4 linked regions of the Drosophila melanogaster genome follow. The protein of the gene in region 1 interacts with the protein of each later gene in a pairwise test. Each region holds a gene or a part of one and is shown on either strand. Other genes may lie near its edges.

Region 1 (6,764 bases):
GTAAATTGTGCATTCTAACGAAACTGAAACAGGTATATTTATCTATTTATATTTAAATATGCATAAATGCTTATTTTATTTCTGAAGTAAATTAAAAAAAATAGCTGTTCAAATCTATACCGGAAGTAGCATGCGCCACCTAGCGAGTAGCCCACGAAGCTTGTTCAAATGTCCGAAAAGCTCGCCTAATAAATTTGAAATGTAAACAAATGTTGTTGGAAAGCTTGTTGGCAACTCGGGCGGCAGCAACAACTACACAAAAGCAGCGATGTTAGCGGCAGAGAAATTGCAAAGCTTTGTGAGCAACAACAACATGATTTTTGTTTGCTCGCTTTGTTGTTGGTTCTGAGAGCGACAGCTGTTGTAGTGTCCGTGAGAGCGCAGTTTATGTTTGTGTGCGGTGCTGAGTAAGCAACTGTTGTTGTTTCAATGTTCCCTGAGAGTTAGAGCAAAGAAGAAGAAGAAGCGCACAATGGAATTATGATCACTGGAAATTCGCAGGTAAGTTTTCAGGTAAACTATTTGGGTTCCTGTGTTTTATTTTTTTTGTCAGAGTTACAGCGTAAAAAATGTGTATTTTCTATTTGCGACTGTCACCTGTTCACTAACATATTTTGGGGAAAACCAATTATACATGTTAATGGACGTGGAAATAAATAGAAACATTACCATTAGACAGTAATAATAAGCCTGAAGTTATATTCAACATAACAATCAACATACATATGTAAAAATTGTATTGCCCAACAAAAAGATCTTGAACATGATATATCTTTTGAAAATCCATTTGAATCAATCGATTTCGATCAGGATTACCTAGTAGTCCGCTGATCCTTTGAGAGATCCTTTCGGGGTGGGTGACTAGCCTCTAACGACAGGCAACACTCTTGATGCAGTGCAACTATTTTTGTTGGCCTGTGTCCCTTTCCTACCCTCCACAACCGACAACCAACTCATTGTATCTGTATCTTTGCATTTCGTACCGCGCAGTTGCCGTTTCTCCGACTCGAAAACACTCGTCATTCGTGTGCGTGTGCATTGTTTGTCTTATTTGTTGTTCGTTGCCAGCAACAACAATAAAAAGTTCCCTGCTGTTGAGCAGCCAGCTGTGTGTGTTTGTATTGGCGCATTGGTGTGTGTCCGTGTTAGTATCTGTGTGTGTGCGGCGGAGAGTGTGCGTTGTTCTCTGTTTGCTCGCCGTCCACTCGTGTCATGTTGTTGCTGTTGCTTCAGTGTTCTACGTAGCCGATAGATACTGGTTGATACACTGAGGGAATACGTGTTTAATTGGTACTTGTTTGAACCTCATAACTATTAAATTAATACCGCTTACATGGATCATTAATAAAGTCTGCAAATAATTTTATATTTTTCCCTTTAATTAAGTTTGGGGCTAATAATACATTACCAATTTAAAACATCTTTATATTACATTTCACAATTGCCAAGTGACAACTCTATTTCTCTCAGTGCACCGCTCGCTCTCGCAGGGCAGCAGTCGCATTTGTGGCTGTGTCTGTGTGTTTTTCTCTGTGTGCTTAGTCGCCTTGGTCGCTTGGTACGCGAAACATACGACATTGCCAACAATCCAACAGTCCGCCGCCGATTCCCGAGCGCCGTGCACCGTCGACTCGACCGCGAGTTTTCGAATTCAACATTTTTGAACGTTACGTCAGTCGTCGGTCGCTGCAGCAGCAGCAGCAACAAAAATATTTTTGGCGCCGTTTTATTTGTGTGCCGTGCATCGTGTCGTTTTGAAATCGCTGCGAGCAAGGAGTTGTTGCGTTTTGAAATCGCCTCTGCAACAGGAGTTTTTCTGTAATCCAACGACGAATACCAACCAAAAGGTAATGAATTCTTTGCTTGGAACAACATCACAAGTTAGGAACAACAGCAACAATAACAGCCTGATAAGCAGCAGAAAGAAAAATTCTATATGCCATATTGTTTCCTTGTGTGCGATTGCCTGTGAATGTGTGTGTGTATTGTGTGTATTGTTGTTGTTGTTGTTGTCTATCTAACAAAGTTATTGCGATTGTTGTTGTTGCTGTCATTGGGCCACGGAATATACAATATACTGTATGTATTTTTGTTGGTGGAGGGAAACAAAGAGCGGGCCGGGTATTTCTGCAAGTTTTCTGTGTTTTGTTAGCTTTAGAAATAAATTCTTTTTTTTTGTTGTTGTTTTTGTTTTCCGTTGGGTTTTGTGTTTGGCTGTTGCTGATTCTGTGTTTTTCGATTTGTACGTTGCTGTACTTTTTGCTGAGCCCCGTTGTTAATAGATAAACATGAACATTTCTCAAGGAATTAGTACGCGCTCATGCTGATATGTTTATGTTAAATAGACGTAATACAATAAATATTGCCATATAGCCCAGGTTAGTTGTTTTTCTGCCCCTTCCAGTCGCCATTCCCATTCCATTCCATTTTCCCCCCGCCCACACCGCACACAGCAATCCAACAATAACATTAACAAAAACAACAACGGGCAGAGCCAAAACACGCGAGCAACGTTCGCCTTGATAATGATGTTCGCTGATAATAATGATGACTGGCCAAAGAACACAACAATGCTGCCAGCGCACAGTGGGACCAAAGTGTTACGAAAATGGAAAGCAATATTAATTTTTTGTTTGGTTCAGCTTAGAGTGCTAGAGTTTTCTCTTGCTACTTTTTTATGTCCGAAAAAATAGAAAACTTATTGGACTCTGAACCTGATATTAAGATTAATAGTTGAAGGGAATTATTACCTACGATTTTCCAGAGATTTACTTACAGATGTCCAAAAAATATATATATACATATAAAATACCATCTAATAGGTTTCCAAGCAATGTGGAAATTGTTATTATATTTTTCCTTGATATACTTTTGGTAATGCCCTTTTTCGATTACTTCCATCCCACTGTGCGCACGTTTTTCGCTTTGCAAAACTGGTGGGCCCAAAAGGTGCTGAAAGTGGCGGGAAAACTGTCGGAGATTTAAGAGCGGCCCAAGTGTCGCCGCGATAGAAAGGGGCTGACGGCAAAAGGGTAGGCAGTCGAGTGAATGGACAGGTGGAGTGGGCTGATTAGAATCGAAACAGGTAGTCGCAGGTGCGAGAGCGAATCGTTTGCAAGTAGTGAGCAGTGAGTGCGGTGGGTACTCGCACACATATTCGTGACTATTCAGCGGATTTGGTTTTGGCCAACATGTTTTCGGATATTGCAACACAACATTGCTTGCTGCACTGAATTGCTGCTGCTGCAGCAGAGTGTTGCTGTTGTTGCTGAAGCATTCTGTTGTTGTTGTTACTGTTGTTTTGTTGCTGCTGCTTTAGTTGTGCTGTTGTTGCTGTTATCAGTGAAGCAGACAAAAGCTTTCAGCTTTCGACGCCAGCAGCAACAGCAACAGAAACAAACGGCAACAAAAACACAAACAAGCAGCACAAACAGCCAGATTGCCTGTTATTTTTATGGCCGCTGCCATTGTCGCTGCTGTGGCTATAATAATATGAAAAGTAAACAAAGTTGCTGGCTGTCGTCGTTTCGCCGCCGAGTTGTCAACATCAACGCAACGCAATGCTTTCCTATCCTATCCAGCTAGCCAAACTGTACTGAATATAATGGCAACTACAGCTACAACTACAACTACAACGACAACAACGGCCACGGCTACAACAATGTTTTATTAAGTTTCACGAAATATATATGAGCGAAAAGCTCTATGCCTCGTTTGCTGAGACAGCAGCAACAGACAGCGGAACAGAACTGAACAGAACACAACTGAACCGAACTGAACAGAAACCAACACACAAACAAATAACACGACAAAACGAAAAGAAACCGAACACAAAACCCCAGCAGAAAAGGCAAAAAAGCTGAAAAAGAGTCGTTGAGAATTCTGTTTGTTTGCCAGCTCAAAAATAAATAGGATTGTATATAAATACATATGTATGTATGGTACATACATACATCGATAGGAAAGTCTAAAAATCAAATATTGGAGTGGCTAACTTAACTTGAAGTTGCCATTTCTTGAGATCATAACGTGCAACATGACAGCAAACCCGTTCAAACCCCTGGTAATCGCTGTTTATTTTAACATTTCTCTAAATAGACTTCAAATTTAAAACGTATCTTTTAGTGGCTCTGTGAGGGACGATACCGCCAACGAATATGACCACCTCAACCCGCAGCAGCAGCAACAACCACAGCAGCGAGCACGAGGAGCGAACCTCCAACGGCACCACCGCCTACAACCACCACAGTCCAACGGGTTCGGGATCCGGAACAGCAGGCGCCTCTATTGGATCCACCAACCGAGTGATGCAGGCGGACGAGGACTTCAACATCCGCTTCGTCAACCTGGTGCGCACCCACAAGTGTCTCTACGACAAGAAGGTGCCCGAGTACCGCAACAGGTGAGTGGCGAGTCCATCGGCTGCCAGAAGATACGATCCAGATCGTTCCGTACGTTCAGTCTTAACTAATTTAAATAACTTTTTACAGGGATAATCAGGAAAAGGCTTGGGTGCTTATTTCAAAGGAGACAAGAGAAAGCGGTAAGCAATAATAGGAAAAACATTAATCCCTTAAATTAATCAGAACTTTCATAATCTTTAGTGATCCATTGCAAGGAGCGATGGCGAAACCTTCGGGCCTGCCTATCCCGCTACATAAAGCAGCAATCCGGATCGGAGCCGCAGCACAAGCCATACTACCTGACCGAGCACATGGCGTTCCTGCTGCCCTTCCTGAAGTCCAGCCGTAACTCTTTGGAGGGGAACAACAGTCTGGCCACTCTGTACCAGATGTCCCAGCAGCATTTGCAGCATCAACCATTTCTCCTGCATCCAGCACTCCATGCGACCGAGGAGCACAAGTACTGCGCCAACACTAGCATCAATAATAATAATAATAACAACGACGTCCATAATGGTGAGAGTATGGAGGTCTTGGAGATGAAGTACTCGATATCGGAGAAGGACGATGAGGAGACCATCGACGCCTTTGATCCCGCGGTTACCAACACCCTGGGTATGAATCGTACTTCGTCCACGCCCACTCGCAGTTCTGCCCTTCAAGGAGGCGGAGGCAATTCACCGGCCAGAAGCGATACCGCTAGTGCGGATAGCATGAAAAACTTCATTCCAGATGTGCAGCTGGCCGAGACGGGCTCGCAACTCATCTACAGCGATGGTGGACATGGCACACCACCGCCTCTGCACTACCATCCGCACTCGCATCCACATCCTTTGACATTGTCCATGGATCATCACCCAGCATCCTACGAACCGGGGAGCACGAAAAGAATCAAGACGGAATGCGAGGCCACCAGCACGATGACGAATGCAGGAAGTATTTACGGCGGACTGAGTTCGTCGGAAGTGGCGGACATGGAGTTCTTCCGCAGCATTCTCCCAGATCTGGCGACTCTCACTCCACAGCAACGTCGCAAGTTCAAGATTGGCATTCTGGAGCTAATTGACGACGTTGTAACCCGATATCCCGCCCAGGATCACAGCAACGGAGGAGGCGTATCTGGCGTAGTCAACGGAAGTGGCGGTAGCAGCAATGGGGGATCTGTTAAGCATCAAAGGCGCAGCTCTGGACGCGATTGGAGGAAACAATAAAGGAATAGAAAGTGTATCGGAAAGTCACTAATCCTTAACTAGGGATAGGATAAGTTTAGTTAGAAGCTTAAGGGGGATCTGAAGCTGGAATGGGTACTAATTCGAATCTGAGCTACTTCAGTCCGCTCACTGTTAATGTGTTGTGTCTACTCAATAAGATGGGTATGTTTTCAAAGGCCTTCAATTCTTTCAAGTCCGCGAATTGTTTCGATTTTGACCAACCATTATGAATGGTCCATTTACAAAGAGCTGCAAGAACTTGCATGACCAAATATATACATATATATATGAACAACTAATATATACATTTAAAGCTATTCCGAAATCGAACACATTCAACGAACAAGAAGTAATGAGGTCTCCTTATAAGCCATTTAGTTCTGACGTAGCAGTTAAGGAATTGTGAAAATAGATTTCAAGATTTTAGAAAATGGCTGCTTCGAAAATATGTTAGTTTAAGGACACTGTATATACGCTGCTATTGAAACCTAAACTATAGAATCTGTGTACAAATGAATTTCCGTTTGAGTAAACAAAGAGGGATAAAGAGATAGATCGATATCAAACTGCTGTGTGTAATAATAAACAAATGAAAGTATGGAAAATTACACGGTAAACTTTAATTTAATTGTCGACAACTTCAACAGAGGGCTTTTTATTGGGCCTTGCCCCATTTTTTAGGCAGCGATGGACCACAATAGGTTTCCTTTCTGAGAGAAATGCACAAGGACACGACTTATCTTCGCACTAAAAGCTAAATTTCGTTAGCGGCTCTACGGAGGCTGGGATCGGATTGGATCGGATCTACAACTTCGAGGAGCCAGTCTTGGGGTAGAACTTCTTCGACGGGTCCTTAGCCATGTCGAGCAGGGTCTGAGCGGGCTTGAAGGGAGCTCCGTACAGCTCAGCATAGGATTGCATCTTGCTGACCAGTTTGCCGGCTCCATACTGATCGACCCAGCGGAAGGGACCACCGGAGAATGGCGGGAAGCCCAGGCCGAACACGGCTCCGACATCGCCCTCCAGCGGACTGTCCAGAATCTTCTCCTCCAGACAGAGCACGGCTTCGTTGATGAAGCGGGATACCATACGCAGCGTCAGATCCTCGGGGGCATTGGCTCCCTTTGAGACTAAAGCGTACTTTTGTTTC
Region 2 (3,700 bases), on another chromosome or scaffold:
TATAATAAAATTTAATGCGCTCATATTTCATGGGCCAACAAACGCACGCACGCACAGACAAAAAGCGGATCTCGAAAGCCCAGGGCTGGGCAAATAAATAAATCATCCAGCCAACTTTATCGCTTTATTTTAAAAAGCACTGCCAGAATGATTGAATCGTTTCAGTCGCATAAAACGGATTTACACGCATATGAGGCAAAAACACTCTTGTTTTTTCACCAAGCGATTTGTTCTCAATTTTTTCAGTTCAACTTTTAACAGCCATAAATGGGTTTTCAATAAGCCGTTCTGTATCAAAATAAAAAAATATTTTTGGTTGTACAATATATTTTCAGCTTGGCGATAAGTTAATATCAACAAATTGTCAAGCGTGTGTGATTTTAACGTTAATTGATCTGTTTTTAATTTAGCTGCTTAAACAGGCGATAGGAAAACTTTCTCATCAACTTTGATAACATTTTTCGCATTCAATATCGAGGAGTATGATAAACTTTCTTACGTATTCAGGCCCACACAAGTGGGCACAGCGCAGAACAGAAATTAAGTGTTAAAGTTTAACTTTAAGGTTCACAGTTATCAGTTTTTTTAAATAAATCAACAGAAAAAAATATAGTCAACTGTCTCAACTATTAGATATACATATATGTATATTTATAATTGCAAAAAAAAAGATAAAAAGGGTTTTGTTCAAATATTACATTCATCTTGTATATTTTTTTGATGTAATATCGTCCAAACCAATGGCCCATTAAATATATATATATATATATATATCCCTTCCATCTAATTTTTGTTTAAATACTATACATTTTTAAAACTATATTAAAACTGTATTTATCCACTATCAGTATACATGCATGGAAGCAGTTTTATGAAAACAAACAATTTCTTTTATTTGAGTACATACCTTTGTCGTTTATTAATTTAATAATCCCCGTTAAAATGATCGTCTAAATATATCTGATTTAAGTGCAAATCAAATGTTATTTTCAATAAGTTTTATCCAATGTTTGCAATCCACTCACAATAACATCCACAGAGTCACTCAAAAATGGTCTAGCTCTTGGAATAAGTATTATTTTACAGCGCAGCTTCCGTATTCTGTGATAAGTTGAAATAACTCTATATACGCCGAGTTCAGTAAACGACAAAACTAGGCGGCAATGGACGGAAATCGATGTGGTTTTGGGGTGAAGCCCATAATGACACGAAGATACCAAAAATCGAAGCTATTTAACGCGGACGCCCAACGGCGAAGGTGTTTTCACAACTATTTTTAGTAGTCCATAGCCACTTGGGTTTGTGCTCCCTTGCTGCTCGCATTTTCTCGCCGACACTTGGGTTTTGATAAGCTCGCGATTTGCACAATTAACAGTGATGGGTAGAGCGGGCGCGGGGAACACGGGGACGGGTCAAGCATCCGCGGCACTTATTGTGATTTTCTTGGGCTGCGAGCGCGCTTTGTGCATTTAATAGGCACGATAAAAGCGGCGGAGCTTTGAGCATGTACGCAGCAACAGATTTGAGAATATTTTTTTGCTATTGTTATAACAACAACAATTAGTTGAAACTTATGTTAGTTTCACACCGCTGGCAGTTTTGTTCTCACTTTTGTCAAGTTTATTGAGATTTGCAAAATTTTATTTTCAAATAATTTTCCTTTGGCGCCAAATGAGCATCCATCCCTGGCAGTGCTTCGTGATCAGCTGATTTTAGTGCCTATCAACTTATACGTATGCATACTAAAAACGGTCACTCTGCACGCCAGAAGTCATATTCATTGCTTATAAGCAATTATTAATTTCAACTAATTTCATACGTGTCTCGCTTTAGTGGGCATTATGGCCGACAATTTGGAGCCCCTGGAGCCCAGCCTGCAGAATCTCGTCGAGCAGGACTCCCTCAAGTGGATCTTCGTGGGCGGAAAAGGCGGCGTGGGCAAGACGACTTGCAGGTAAAACAACAACAACAAGCCAACTTTCTCGGTTGATCTAATTAATCTTCGTGTTAAACATAGTTCTAGCCTAGCCGTTCAGCTGTCGAAAGTGCGCGAATCCGTGCTAATCATATCCACAGATCCGGCGCACAACATATCGGATGCATTCGATCAGAAGTTCACCAAGGTGCCGACAAAGGTTGGTGGAAGAATCCGGAAATGAAGTCATTTACCATTGTATAAGCTAAACTAAAGCACATCGCAATTCCTTTTCCGCAACCAGGTAAATGGCTTTGACAACCTGTTCGCCATGGAAATCGATCCAAATGCCGGTCTCAACGAGCTGCCCGAGGAGTACTTCGATGGCGAAAATGAGGCGCTGCGCGTGAGCAAGGGCGTCATGCAGGAGATGATCAACGCCCTGCCCGGCATCGACGAGGCGATGAGCTATGCAGAGGTTATGAAGCTGGTCAAGGGCATGAACTTCTCGGTAGTCGTCTTCGACACGGCGCCCACGGGACACACGCTGCGTCTGATTGCATTTCCCCAGGTGGTGGAGAAGGGGCTGGGCAAGCTGCTGCGGCTCAAGATGAAGGTGGCGCCCCTGCTGTCACAGTTCGTCTCCATGCTGGGCATGGCTGATGTGAACGCTGACACACTCTCCCAGAAGCTGGACGACATGCTGCGCGTTATCACCCAGGTCAACGAGCAGTTCAAGAACCCAGTACGTAGAAACATGTATTTAGCTCGTACAACGCCTAATCCGCATTCGTCCTTCGGCAGGATCAAACTACATTCGTCTGCGTGTGCATAGCAGAGTTCTTCTCGCTGTACGAGACGGAACGACTTGTGCAAGAGCTAACCAAGTGCGGCATCGACGTCCACAACATCATTGTAAACCAACTGCTGTTTCTGCAGAACTCGCACGACTCGTGCAGCATGTGCGCCTCCCGCTTCAAGATTCAGGAGAAGTACCTGGACCAGATTGCCGACCTGTATGAAGACTTCCACGTAACCAAGTTGCCGCTCCTCGAGAAAGAGGTGCGCGGTCCAGAGAGCATCCGTTCTTTCTCCGAGAACCTTATGAAGCCCTACAACCCCAAGGGCGAGCCCAAGGAATAGGATAGCCCGTCCAACCCTTTACCCATCCGTTTGTAAGTTTCTTCCTTAGTTTGTGTGAACAGAAAGTGCGTAAAATAAATTAAAGTTGAGGCAGCGATCCCCGAAGGGATCTGCTTCGACGTGTAATGCGTAGACAACGCTTAACGGATGCAGTATTCCAAACTGGAGAGGGTTACAACGAATGATACTTTCAAAGACCGCCCCCGGCACGCTCCATTTGCATTACGGTGGGAAAGTTGCTGCCTTGCATCTGCCTTTTGTGGTCCAGATACAGCCGTGCGTACCGCAGGTACTCGGTGTTGCCCTGCACAATAGCCGACATGAGCAGAAGGAACTCATACAGGTTCACCTTGCCCTGGGCATGGACATCAATGTCCCGCAGGACATCGTGCATCAGGTCGACGGGCACCTCCTTTACGCCCATCGTTTTCATTGCCTTGCAGCAGTCTGCAATCGACACGTACCCCGTATTGTTATCATCCATTTGCCTGAACTGCCCGGCAAACTTGCGCACTTGGCGCACGCTCATCTTAATGGGAATGCTCATCTGCGAAGCGCTCTCCTTGGTCAGCTGGCCCATCTGGGAGTTAAGAAAAGTTCGCGTCTGGCGGATCTGCTTTTTAATTTGATCTCGCGACCAGT
Region 3 (4,809 bases), on another chromosome or scaffold:
TTTTGACCCACCTAGCCGCCCCCGCAACCCCCGCGGCCGTCACAAGCTCTTAGCCAAATTGCTGCAGCCCGAAAAGAGAGATGGGGCGCGGAAGAGAGAGGGAGAGCGAGCGAGCGAGGAAACGGAAATAACTTGTAAACTTGCGGCACGCAATTTGCAATTACTTAGGCGACTGTTGCAAAGGAACATCAACCAACGCATGCAAAGGACAAAGGCAAGAGCGACTGCCAAAAAGTGAAACTTCCCTCAACTATTTGCTATTGATTAAACAACTAAAACGGCAAATGGAAGCAGAATTTGCGTATATGCCGTATACACCGTATGTTGCCGTTATAAAAGCTGGTCAAGATTGCGTATACGCCGCTTATTCCACTCTTGCGCTTGATTTTACAAGCCCATATTGCGTATACGCCGCACGTTCCACTCATTTTTTTCGTAAGCGTTTTTAAAGCCGTTGACGCTTGAAGGGCTTGTCACCGGTTATTCAGTTGGCCTAGTTGTTGACTTTTCTTAGCCACGCTAATTACCCGCACTGGCTGGCCAGTCGATGGGCCAGCAAACGATTTCCGCTACGATACCGTGCCACTTCATTCACGCACTCCACAAACACAGGCACATGGCACGCTACACACTTGCTGGTTTGCTCTGCCAATTTTCCCGTTGCGGGCCACAATTTTCACACACATCTATCACGGTTTACGCGCGCATTTTCCGGCTCAGCAACACGCCCGCACGCCACGAAGCTTCTTGGCCAAATGAATTGCCCGCTGGCCAACAGCAGCCGCTTCGCTCAAAGCGAGGAAATCCAGGGGGGAATCGTACCCACGAGGGGGCCACTCTCAACGCCCATGCGCACTGCCTTATGGCCACATGACTCTGGAGAGGATTTGAAGCAGCGATTCGGGAGCACTGCCATCGCCGCTCGCAATATTTACAATTTGCAACTGGCAGGCGGCGGATTTCGACGCCGCTTCGCCTTTCATTCAACTGTCAGATTTCGTGAGAGTCACTCAGAGAAAATACCCCGAGAATGGAGTCGCTGGGCGAGGGAGAGAAAGTGCTGGAGCGCAAGTTCCTGACCACAGAGGCGGCGCCACATGGAGCTAATGGGGATTCTTAATTGTTTAAGATATTTGAAAATGCATAGCAGGAAATAATGGTTTAGTTTACCAAGTAGAAGAAATAAAATCACCAAGATATACTAACTATTATAGATATATGTATGGATTAATATTTATTGTTCAGAGTTTATTATTGCACTTTATAATACATTTATGACCAAGTTAGAAAATCCAATCTTCAATTTCAATTTCCTAACTTTTAATCCATTAAGCATATGAATCATTGGGCTTTAAACTTGTAATTCTTAAGCTAGTGGTTAAAAGTAATATGGTCTTGAGAAAAAAGAAATATATAAACACAAATCAATATTATATATCCGGCAAAAAGTTCTAGTGTTCGCAGCTTAAACCCGGTGCTTAAAAAGTAAATCCGCTATATACTTGCTGAATAACTTTTGTATTATTTCAATATCACTTTATATCAATTTCCAGTGCTGTTGGTTAATTTATTCAGTGTTTTCCATAATTAACGCAACAAGAGCCGGCAAAGTGCTGCTGAGGCAACCAACAACAAACCGCCTGCGCCTGCTCTGTTGCCCAGGACAACCGCTGGCTAGAATAAATAAATTCCCAGGTGTCAAGTGGTGGGTGCTGCGACGAGGGGTTAGCGGTGGGCATGCGGACTCCGCTCACCTGAGCTCCAGTCGACGGTTGGCAGCGCCACCGCAATGCAACCAAGGAGTCAAAGTTGAGCCAAGAAGCGCGGTATGCGCCCAGTTTTTCCAACTTGGGGTAGACCGGAGACGGAGGAGCACCTGCCCCAATGTGGGCGCAAAGGTGTCAATCATAAGAGCGCATCGAAATGGCTGCAAAATCAAACTCAGTGAACAAATAGCAACTACTCAAGCTGAAATCAAAATTCAAAGTTTGAAAGGCCTAGGAGTTTCGGCAGTTCTCAGTACAAACTAAAGAAAAACACACGGGTGACAACGCTAATACCCCAAAAAAAACAAAATACACTACAAACGACGAAAGGAACTTAATCAGAGAACCGACGAAGAATAAGCATACAGGATGTCGGGGGCTGGAGAACACTCAGATGAAGAGTCCTATGGAGAGGAGTCCTTCGAGGAGGACTCGGAGTCGGAGGTGGAGGTGGAGGAAGAAGAGATTGAGTATATTGAGCCAGAGGAGTCAAAACCAAGTGACGCTCTTCTGTTGGGGGAGAGCGACACCCAAAGCGAGAGCGATGTGAAAGAAGAGTTTCTTAGCGGCAACGTAAGTCCTCCTCACCAGGAGCTGACTATTTCCGAGTTCAGCCTTAATCCGCAACCTGCATCGCGCCCACAGCCACACGCCCGTCGCTATTTGGGCGCCCGAGTGGTGTCCTACCTGAGTTCCTCCTCTGACGACGAAAGCCAAGTGGTCATCACCAAGACGGTAGCCGAGGTAAATCAACTAAGTCTGCGAGTGGACACGCCTCCGGAGGATGAGACGCCCTCGGTGCGCACTCTGATGCCAGGCAGTGCCCATTCTCGGGTTAAGGATGAGGACGAGGCTGAAGACGAGGATGATGACGAAGGTGATGGCGAAAATGATAACGATAATGAGGACGAGAATGATGACGAGGATGCTGAAGTCGAGGAAATCGAAGAAGAGGAGGAAGAAATTCCAGGAGACGAAGACGACGCCCAAAGCGATGGATCCATGGGTCGTCAATCCGCCGACGACAGCGACGAGGAGGAGGGCACGGATGTGGAAGTGGAGCAGCTGGAGGAGGACGAACCAATTGTAACAGCTGTGTGCAAAAAGACGGTCCAGAAGGAGTTACCACCGCCCCAGAAGGACATTGTTTCGCTGGTCGATGCCAGTGATAACAGTAGTGAGCACAGTGTGGTCACCATGTGTGCATCAGGAGACGAAACAGACAACACCTTGGTGAAGTATCCTAGATTACGAAAGCAGGTAAATAATGGATTAGATAATATCTCACTACAGATAATTAAACACCTACTCACAGCAACCACTTACTGCTAAGGATTCGCAATCGCTAAAAGAGCAGGAAGAACCGGAAGAACCGGAACAACCCGAAGAAAATCAAACAGAAGAACACATGCCAACATCACAGCCCGATCTGGCGAGGGTTCGGTACCTGGAGCAGCAGATGACCCAAATGTCGGAATTGATCATGAAGTCATTCCAGATCAATGGAGGAGCGCCAAATAGCCAAGCCTTCGAGCAGCTTGCCATGGCCACGGAGATGTTGCAGCAACGAAGTGACAGGCGCGGGGACACTGAATCCGAGATGTCATCGATGACGGAAACGACTATGACCAGTGCTAGGAGCTTGGGTGGAGGAATTCCCCCCCTGACAATGCGGATGGAGCGTTCTCAGGAGGCACTACTCACGACGCGATCTTCCAAGCTACCCAGACCCAAATGCAGATGTCCCTCGGAATCGGATTTAATTGAACACGAGCAGAAACTGGATATGGGTCACGAGTTGCCCCATGACCTGGCAGCGAACTTCGGCTTGGGCGAAGGCTACCTCGTAGACGAATGTGGCCAGGGCGACGGACTCATGAGGCATCCACAACAGCGCAAACCAATGGAGTTAAACAGGCGAGCCGTTAGCGGAACTCCAAGCACCTTCAACAGCGACGGTTGCGAGTATCAAATCAATGTGTCGCGTTCCCGCTGCTCTAATGATAAGATTAAGTAAGTAACTTATAATACTTATACACTCTATTACATATAATTACATCTGCATAGCTATAAAAACCTTGGGCGCAAAAGCTTTAGCTTTACGAATCCCCAAGTGCGCGAGATCGAGCGCCAGAATCAGATTCTTTTGCGCAAGATGATGACTGTGAAGCCCACGGCGACGATCAAGGCTAGCACCAGTAGCATAAAGATCAATGGGCCCGAGAAGGTGAGTACATAATATAGAACTTATGTCCAATATTAAACCTCTTCCTTAACAATGTCATACAGCGACAGACACCTCCAGCGCCACGACTGTCCAGCGCAGCTGTGAACCGGAAGAAGAATCAGCGCCAGATCGACCTGGACAACGATCTGCTCAAGCGGAAACTGGAGGCCATCGGCACACGGCGACCGCAATTCAAGTGACGCCTCCACAGGCAGCTCCAACTGTGTTCATTAAGTAATTAAAAGTGTTTATGCGAATTTACAAAATTAAAATTTATTGCAAGTTGAAAAGTGTAAAAAGCTGTATAATCTTAATATAATTTTAAGGGAATTTATAAACCAACTAGAATTCATGCAAAAATGTATAGTACTAGTAAAATTTCGTTCCGATCAAAGTCAATGCATCAAAATGTGTTTATAATTTGTACATTTAGGTATAAACAATTCTATAAATGTTATCGTAATCAATAATCGAATTGGATAGCAATATTAAATTTAACAATTATTTTGCAGCACGTTGGTAACAAATTAAACTAAGAAAAACTCCCGAAAATAAATGAAAGAAGGCGAAAATATTTAAACAGGTAAAAGGAATTAGATGGCATATCTGAAACTTCAAAGAAAAGCTTACAGAGTCACCTCGTTGATCTTGGTCAGAAATGTCTCTCCCAATGCTTTCATTGCTTTAAAGGCAGCATCTCCGTTCTTTTCCTTGAACTCTTCTTCATTTTTAATCTTGACCTTCTCGCGGCGTTCCAATTCACGATAGATAACCTGACCAATCTGAAAAGAAAACTAAGATTGAACGAAATTGTAT
Region 4 (7,008 bases), on another chromosome or scaffold:
AGCTGTGTCATGGCAAAGAGAGAATACAAATTCAACCACTACGAATTCGAATGTCGCTCTCCAGTGGGGATTTTAGAAAATGAATCATTATAAGTTTTAAAAAATACTCGAATTTATAATTCGAAAAACGGGTTTTGCAACAGGGAAAGCGGGAAAATGTCGCAAAACAGATGGGCATCCGCATCGAGTATCGATGCGATATATCGCACGCATATCGCCGCGAGAAAAGGAAGCTATCTGGGTCTAGCCGACGTTTTGATGCTCTATAGTGGAATATTTTCTAATAAATTAAATTTCGCTTGATCGATTTTGCAGCAATTGATAAAAGCTTATTTCAGTAGATCATCAAATTGGAAAGCCAATCGCACTGAAGTACATATGAAACCATATAATTGATCATATTGATAATGTATTAGATAGGATTGCCGCTATCTGAAAAAGTGATAATGCTCTATACAAGGGTATAATGAACGAATGGCAGGCACATGGAAGCCACAAACAGAAACAGCAAAATTGCAGCTGCTATGTATGTTGCTCGACGAATAGGGTAAAAACGGCAACAGCGAATGATGGCGGCAAAGGCAAACGAGCGATAGGTGAACTGAGGGGCGTACCTGCGGGGGGATCGAACTTGAGTCGACTGTTAAGTAGGGTTCTGTTTTTTAAATATCAAGTTGCCGCTCGACCGCTCTCTCAGCTTAGACTTTGAGTAGCACACGTGTGTACTCGATTATGGAACCAGCAGCTGTTCTCGAATTAGTTAATGCTTGAACGCTGGAATAGTTTTGTAATATTTTAGATATTTATACATGTATAGCTACCATTTGATCACTACAGTGTCATCTGTAAATGCTCCAACCCTCAAACCGCTGAGTAATTAAGTACATTATTTAATATGTATGCATTTTTAATAAATGCGCAAGTAGACAAATTATATGCACTTAACTGCATGTAAGGGCAACTTTTTAACCAACCAACAACATATGCATGAATTTCTATCGCTCTTCGTGCTGAACCATAAATAATTTCGGTTCGCGCAAACAAGTCAGTAAAATTCAGCAAACCTGACGCACCCCCTCATGAATATGAATAATGACACGACGCCGCTGTCGCTGGCAACTGGCACAACAAAAGCAGCGAACATGCAGTGACGCGCTGTTTACACTAGAATATCGCGAATTCTTAAATTATTAACAAGTCTCACTGGAGCCCAACCCACTCACAAAACCCATTCCTTTTTGATTTAATTGAAGGACCTGAATATAGAGATAACTATTGTTAAAAACATTCTGCTGTTTGTAAAAACATGAAACATAATTGCACTAACTAAGCTAATAAGGGTAAACATTGCTAGAATATAGATATTTGTTACTCGAAGTTTCTATAACTCGAACATGGGTTTCGGTAACATGGATGTTGATCGACAAAGCCGCGTTTATGCCTCCGCTTTAAACAGGTATTCGTGTAATGACGCACTGCGCATAAACGCAGCGGCAGAGGCGATGGCAGAGCGGCGGCAGAGAGCACGGACGTCGCCGGCAAAATGAAATGGAACGCCGAGGGTGCCAGAGAGATACAGATACATTCGGGCACCGAGTGCGGGCGAGATAGAACGACAACTCCTGTTCCCGGTTCGTCGTCGTTCGTCATTCCCATATTCGCTTCTCGTATTCCCTCCCATTCCCATTCGCAATCCCAATTCCCAATTCCCGTCACACGAGTTAGCAGCACATCGCACAGCTGCATCGCTCCGCTCCGATCCTTTTTAATTTTTTGTTGTGCCTTCGGTGGCGTGCTCATTTCGAGAACAGAGTAACCCCTTTTTATTTGTCAGTTGTCAACGGCGCCCCTGCAGGCAGAAAGCAGAAACTGAAACAGCAGAGGAAGAAGAAGAAGCAGCACAGCACGGGCACAGCACGAAGCACGCAGCACAGCACAAGCACAGAGGCGAAGCGAAGCAAAGCAAAGCAGAGGCAACACAGAAAAACAGCAAAGCATTGGAGTAGTTGTTTGGATGTGGACGGAAAGGAAGACTGGCGGCGACTAACTAAAAGGTATTTGTTGTTCACCCACTCATCTGTGTGCGTGCAGTGCGCTAGTGAAAAGCTGTTCTCACCGTTTGCCAAAAAGACAAGAGGTACGAAAAAAGCACAAACAACAACAACAGCGAAAAATAGTAGCATTCGTTTATTTAATGCTCGCGTTCGTATTTTTTTTGAAAACCTAGATGAAAAAGAAATTTTCTGCTGCTGCTGTTGTTGCCTCAGTATATAAGTGTGTGCGTGTTTAAGTCAGTGTGTGTGTTGTGTGCGTGTTTTTGCCTGTGTATGAGCGCCTGGCTCTCTTTGGGTGTGCGAGAGCGAGTGTGCTGAGTAAGTGTGTGTGTGTCCATCCGTGTGCCTGTCAGTTTGACTGTGTGAGTGCATGGCGGACTAAAAAGAACCCGACGACAGCACTGTAAAAATTCGATTTGTGTGCTGTGCAAACGGCGGCGGAAGCGAGCAGATTTTTGGCAAATAGTGAGCGATTATCGGATTGAGTAAATACAACAAACAACAGAGACACGGCCGCAGCAGCAGCAGCATTAACAGTAATCAATCGAACTACCTCCCTATGCCACCGCACCGATCCCCCTTGCATATGTAATCGTAACTGTAAACCTAATTGTGTGCCTCTTTTCTTCTCTTTTCATCCACTCTCCTTTGCGTTGCTGCTTCTTCGTGCTCCCTCTCTCGCACTCGCATTCTCTCTGTCTCTCACGTACTCGCTTCTTTCTCGCCGGGAACTCTCAACGCACGAATAGCAGTACGTTGACAGGAGCAGCTCGGAACGGACAGGAAAAGCAGGAGACTAAACAGTAAGCAATAAATTGATTTGGCGTATAGTAGCTTACACCAAAGTACATATATTGCCGCATATATAGCCAGCCGGTCACTTGCGGATCAGCCAACGTCCTGGGCCCCAAGGCGATAGATACCACGATAAGGAGATACAGCGATACCACCAATCATTAGCAGGCGACAACGACACATCCGCATCCGCAGAAGATGTCCAACGGCAAGGCGACGGTCTCGTTCTTCGAGACCGGGAGCACCAAACAGTTCGAGTACTGCTACCAGCTCTATCCCCAGGTTCTTAAGCTAAAGGCCGAGAAGCGCTGCAAGAAGCCGCAAGAGCTGATCCGCCTGGATCAGTGGTATCAGAATGAACTGCCCAAATTGATTAAGGCACGCGGCAAGGACGCGCATATGGTATACGATGAGCTCGTCCAGTCGATGAAGTGGAAGCAGTCGCGCGGCAAATTCTATCCGCAGCTATCCTACCTGGTCAAGGTCAACACACCGCGCGCCGTCATCCAGGAGACAAAGAAGGCCTTCCGCAAGCTGCCCAATCTGGAGCAGGCGATCACAGCTTTATCGAACCTCAAGGGCGTTGGCACCACAATGGCCAGTGCACTGCTGGCAGCCGCAGCTCCCGATTCGGCACCATTCATGGCCGACGAGTGCCTGATGGCCATACCAGAGATCGAGGGCATCGATTACACCACCAAGGAGTACCTCAACTTCGTCAATCACATTCAGGCCACCGTGGAGCGCCTCAATGCGGAGGTGGGCGGGGATACGCCGCACTGGTCGCCTCATCGCGTGGAGCTGGCCCTCTGGTCACACTATGTGGCCAATGATCTCAGTCCCGAGATGCTCGACGATATGCCGCCGCCTGGATCCGGCGCCTCCACTGGCACCGGTTCACTCAGCACAAACGGCAACAGCAGCAAGGTGCTCGATGGCGACGATACCAACGATGGTGTGGGTGTTGATTTGGACGACGAAAGCCAAGGAGCAGGTAAGCAGCTAAGATGATCCGATAACTGCGGCTTGAGTATACACCCTTGCAACAAAACACTCAAACCGAGTGGTCTTTTCCAGAAACCAAGTATTTTTCCTATCCGGAATTTTCCATTAAACATTATGTTTGTAGTAGCCTAGTGGTCAATTTACAATTTACAATTTATTCGTTACTCGTGGCGTCATGTTAAATAAAAAGGAGGAATTGTAAAGTTACTACTGTAAAATAGTTAACTTTTAACATATTATCAGTAGCTTATACTTGTTGGCAGCTTTTCAAAAGTGTTAGGATGTCTAATAATTTCAAACACAGAGTTTCTTTGTTTGATTACTCTGACCGCAGTTCGCCGAGTTAACAAATTGACCATTGATGGCTAATCCAATGCTTTCTATCCCCCAGGCGGTCGCAACACTGCTACAGAATCGGAGACAGAGAATGAGAACACCAACCCGGCTGCTCTGACGCCTCTACAGTCGGGCGAGGCCAAGAACAACGCAGCTGCCGTTGGCGCCGCCCTGCAGGACGGTGACTCCAACTTTGTTTCGAACGATTCCACCTCCCAGGAGCCGATCATCGATGACAACGATGGCACCACACAGACAACGGCCACCACTTCCACAGAGGACGGTGAGCCCATCGCCCTAGACATTGGCATTGGCATCGGTTCGAGTGGAACACCGCTCGCCTCGGACTCTGAAAGCAATCAGGAGGCGCCGCCCAAGACCAACAGCCTGCCCATCCTGACTCCCACACAGCACTCGAGCCAGAATCAGAATCAAAAGCAGTCGCCGAGCCAGCCCCACAAAACTAACAATTCGATCACCAACAACGGTCAGCCTGCTCCTTTGGCAGAAGAGGAAGCGGTTACAGCAGCACCACAGCCAGCCAGCAAAGCGACTGCAGCACCAGCCAATGGAAATGGTAACGGGAACGGCGTCCTGGGCGACGAGGATGAGGATGAGGCGGAGGACGAGGAGGAAGATGAGCTGGACGAGGAGGAGGATAATGAGGCGGAGCTAGAGGCTGACGAGAGCAATAGCAGCAACGGCATTGTGAGGGACAGTAAACTGCAGCAGCTGGCGGCGAACAAGGCGGTGGATGCGGTTTCACCGGTAGCAGCGGGTGCAGACTCGGCACCAGCCATTGGACAGAAGCGTACTGCCCTGCACTGCGATATGGAGCTGAAGAACGCCGGCGGAGTGGGTGTGGGCGTGGGGGAGAAGTCACCGGATCTAAAGAAACTGCGCAGCGAATGAGGCGGAGGTGAGGAAACGAAATACGGATACGGATGCGGATGCGGGTCAGAAACGGGGATCGGTTCGGCTCGGCACGTTTCGGTTCGCCGCGTATCCGGTGGAAAGACATATGTATGTAGTGCAGTTGAGTCGACATAGAGACATAGAGCAACATTACCTACACTTTACCACAACAACATTCAAGAAATTCTACTATTAAGCAACTAACTATACATACATATAATATATTATATATATATATATATACACATATATATATATATATATACAACATATAACGAGATGCGAACACCCAACACACTCCACTCTCATACACACAACACAGACACACACAACCCGACATAACATGAACATAACCGATCAGATCAGAGCGGAATATAGGATCCCGATCCAGAAGGCAGTAAGCAGCACCACAAACAACATTTCAATAGCATAGAAAGCGCGCCAAGATGAAGAATCAGAAGAATCCGATCAAGAATCCGAAGAACAAGCAGCAGAATCAGCAGCAACAGAGAGTTCAGAATGCAGCGTTAACGTAATTTAACTAAAACGAAAAGCAAATGCATACATGAATAGTAACTACAAAACAAGATCAGATGGAAATCGATATTTTTACACAGTCAAAAGGAACATTTAAATATAAAGAAATTTACAAATGCCGCAGTTGCCCACTACATACAAAAAACAAAAAAAAAATATGAAAAATAAAAAGCGAAAGAAAACAAAATGATTAAGATGGAAACAACAATAATTATAATAAACAGAAACGTAATTTATATACATAGGTATTTAAATTTAATAATAAATCAAAACTTGTCGTATAAACCAAGCCCCCCACCACCAACTCCACCACCACCCCCTTCGACCGTCGACCCGCAGCAACTCGCGCTCTCTCTCTATCTCTCTCACTCAAAACACGCCGCACACAGAATACACCCCCTCCCCACACACATAAACACACAAACACTCGGAAGAAACAAAACAAAACAAAACTCATTTCAACACTAAGAAATTTTTGTGGTCGTAATTATAATAATATAATTTATATTATGTGTAAAACTTTTTTTTAACTTTACATATACTGAATTTTTTATAATTTATACGATAATCACGTTTCATTTGATTTCCAAAAGAGAAAAAAGAAGATACGGAAGCATACGGCCCGCATCTTAATTGCACCCGACGCAGGTCGTCCGATCTCCGCGTGGTTTGGGTTGCCGGTACCGGGTGGTTTCCCCGATATCCACGACCCATACCACTCGCAGATCGGTCGGAACTTTGAAAGTAACAACACATCTGAAAATTATAATCATTTTTATTATTAGTAGCATAAGTGCGAATAAAATGTGAAATATTAAGAAAACACGGCATAAAACTGAAAACATCCCACAATCATCTTCAATTGTTTTATCACTTCAATGGGGTTTTTGCATTTGGTGTTTGAATAGGCGTTACATCGAGAGCCGTTGGAACTAGTCATCGACTTATCGAAAATAATGTAATGGCTCGTCCGAATATGGCAACGCTCTTCAAGTGGGCAGATGTATCGATGTCTATGCATCGATAGCATGGTGTGCTAACAACACAGCTCTAGTGCTAATCAAAAGAAAACACAGAACAGGACGGAAATATATAGAATACTTTTGCACTTAATTTGACTTGCCACGACTACCTGGCCAACTCGATCGGCGATATAGACCACCGGCCCATCAGTCAATTTCATTCTGGCATTGATCGAGCTCCGTGAAACTTGCATTCCAGCTGGCCACCATCCCATACGTCCATATATCCTTTATAAAATATCTATAAATCGAAGAGGAATCCTAGCCCCGCCGACCATGTCATTGGATCGCCTTGGTTGCTGGCCGGATCGGAGTTAATTGAGACTATGCACCGGAATCGAAAC

What was found.
Region 2: the proteins of brwl (region 1) and CG1598 interact in a two-hybrid assay, tested with the Drosophila melanogaster proteins (one large-scale study listed by BioGRID).
Region 3: the proteins of brwl (region 1) and hmw interact in a two-hybrid assay, tested with the Drosophila melanogaster proteins (one large-scale study listed by BioGRID).
Region 4: the proteins of brwl (region 1) and Amun interact in a two-hybrid assay, tested with the Drosophila melanogaster proteins (one large-scale study listed by BioGRID).

The regions. Positions count from the first base shown.
Region 1 is NT_033779.5:9,567,352-9,574,115, forward strand, and holds brwl (brickwall), read left to right. Parts: upstream 1-1,538; 5' UTR 1,539-1,847; intron 1,848-2,919; exon of another isoform or gene 2,920-4,063; intron 4,064-4,125; 5' UTR 4,126-4,157; coding exon 4,158-4,402; intron 4,403-4,490; coding exon 4,491-4,543; intron 4,544-4,604; coding exon 4,605-5,614; 3' UTR 5,615-6,221; downstream 6,222-6,764. Other genes in the region: Mtpalpha (mitochondrial trifunctional protein alpha subunit), read right to left, coding at 6,419-6,764.
Region 2 is NT_033778.4:7,537,732-7,541,431, reverse strand, and holds CG1598 (uncharacterized protein), read left to right. Parts: upstream 1-1,735; 5' UTR 1,736-1,841; coding exon 1,842-1,954; intron 1,955-2,017; coding exon 2,018-2,135; intron 2,136-2,219; coding exon 2,220-2,660; intron 2,661-2,719; coding exon 2,720-3,058; 3' UTR 3,059-3,200; downstream 3,201-3,700. Other genes in the region: Gpo2 (glycerophosphate oxidase 2), read right to left, coding at 3,249-3,700. UniProt on the Drosophila melanogaster protein: ATPase required for the post-translational delivery of tail-anchored (TA) proteins to the endoplasmic reticulum. Recognizes and selectively binds the transmembrane domain of TA proteins in the cytosol.
Region 3 is NT_033777.3:18,359,991-18,364,799, forward strand, and holds hmw (hemingway), read left to right. Parts: upstream 1-2,003; 5' UTR 2,004-2,135; coding exon 2,136-2,339; intron 2,340-2,411; coding exon 2,412-3,026; intron 3,027-3,081; coding exon 3,082-3,779; intron 3,780-3,833; coding exon 3,834-3,993; intron 3,994-4,055; coding exon 4,056-4,193; 3' UTR 4,194-4,287; downstream 4,288-4,809. Other genes in the region: WRNexo (WRN exonuclease), read right to left, coding at 4,620-4,775. UniProt on the Drosophila melanogaster protein: Involved in assembly and/or maintenance of motile cilia. Required during spermatogenesis for axoneme elongation. Necessary for optimal function of the chordotonal (hearing) organs.
Region 4 is NC_004354.4:11,709,604-11,716,611, reverse strand, and holds Amun (amun), read left to right. Parts: upstream 1-1,581; 5' UTR 1,582-2,054; exon of another isoform or gene 2,055-2,137; intron 2,138-2,294; exon of another isoform or gene 2,295-2,372; intron 2,373-2,400; exon of another isoform or gene 2,401-2,590; intron 2,591-2,764; exon of another isoform or gene 2,765-2,803; 5' UTR 2,804-2,857; exon of another isoform or gene 2,858-2,923; 5' UTR 2,924-3,047; coding exon 3,048-3,843; intron 3,844-4,245; coding exon 4,246-5,102; 3' UTR 5,103-6,492; downstream 6,493-7,008.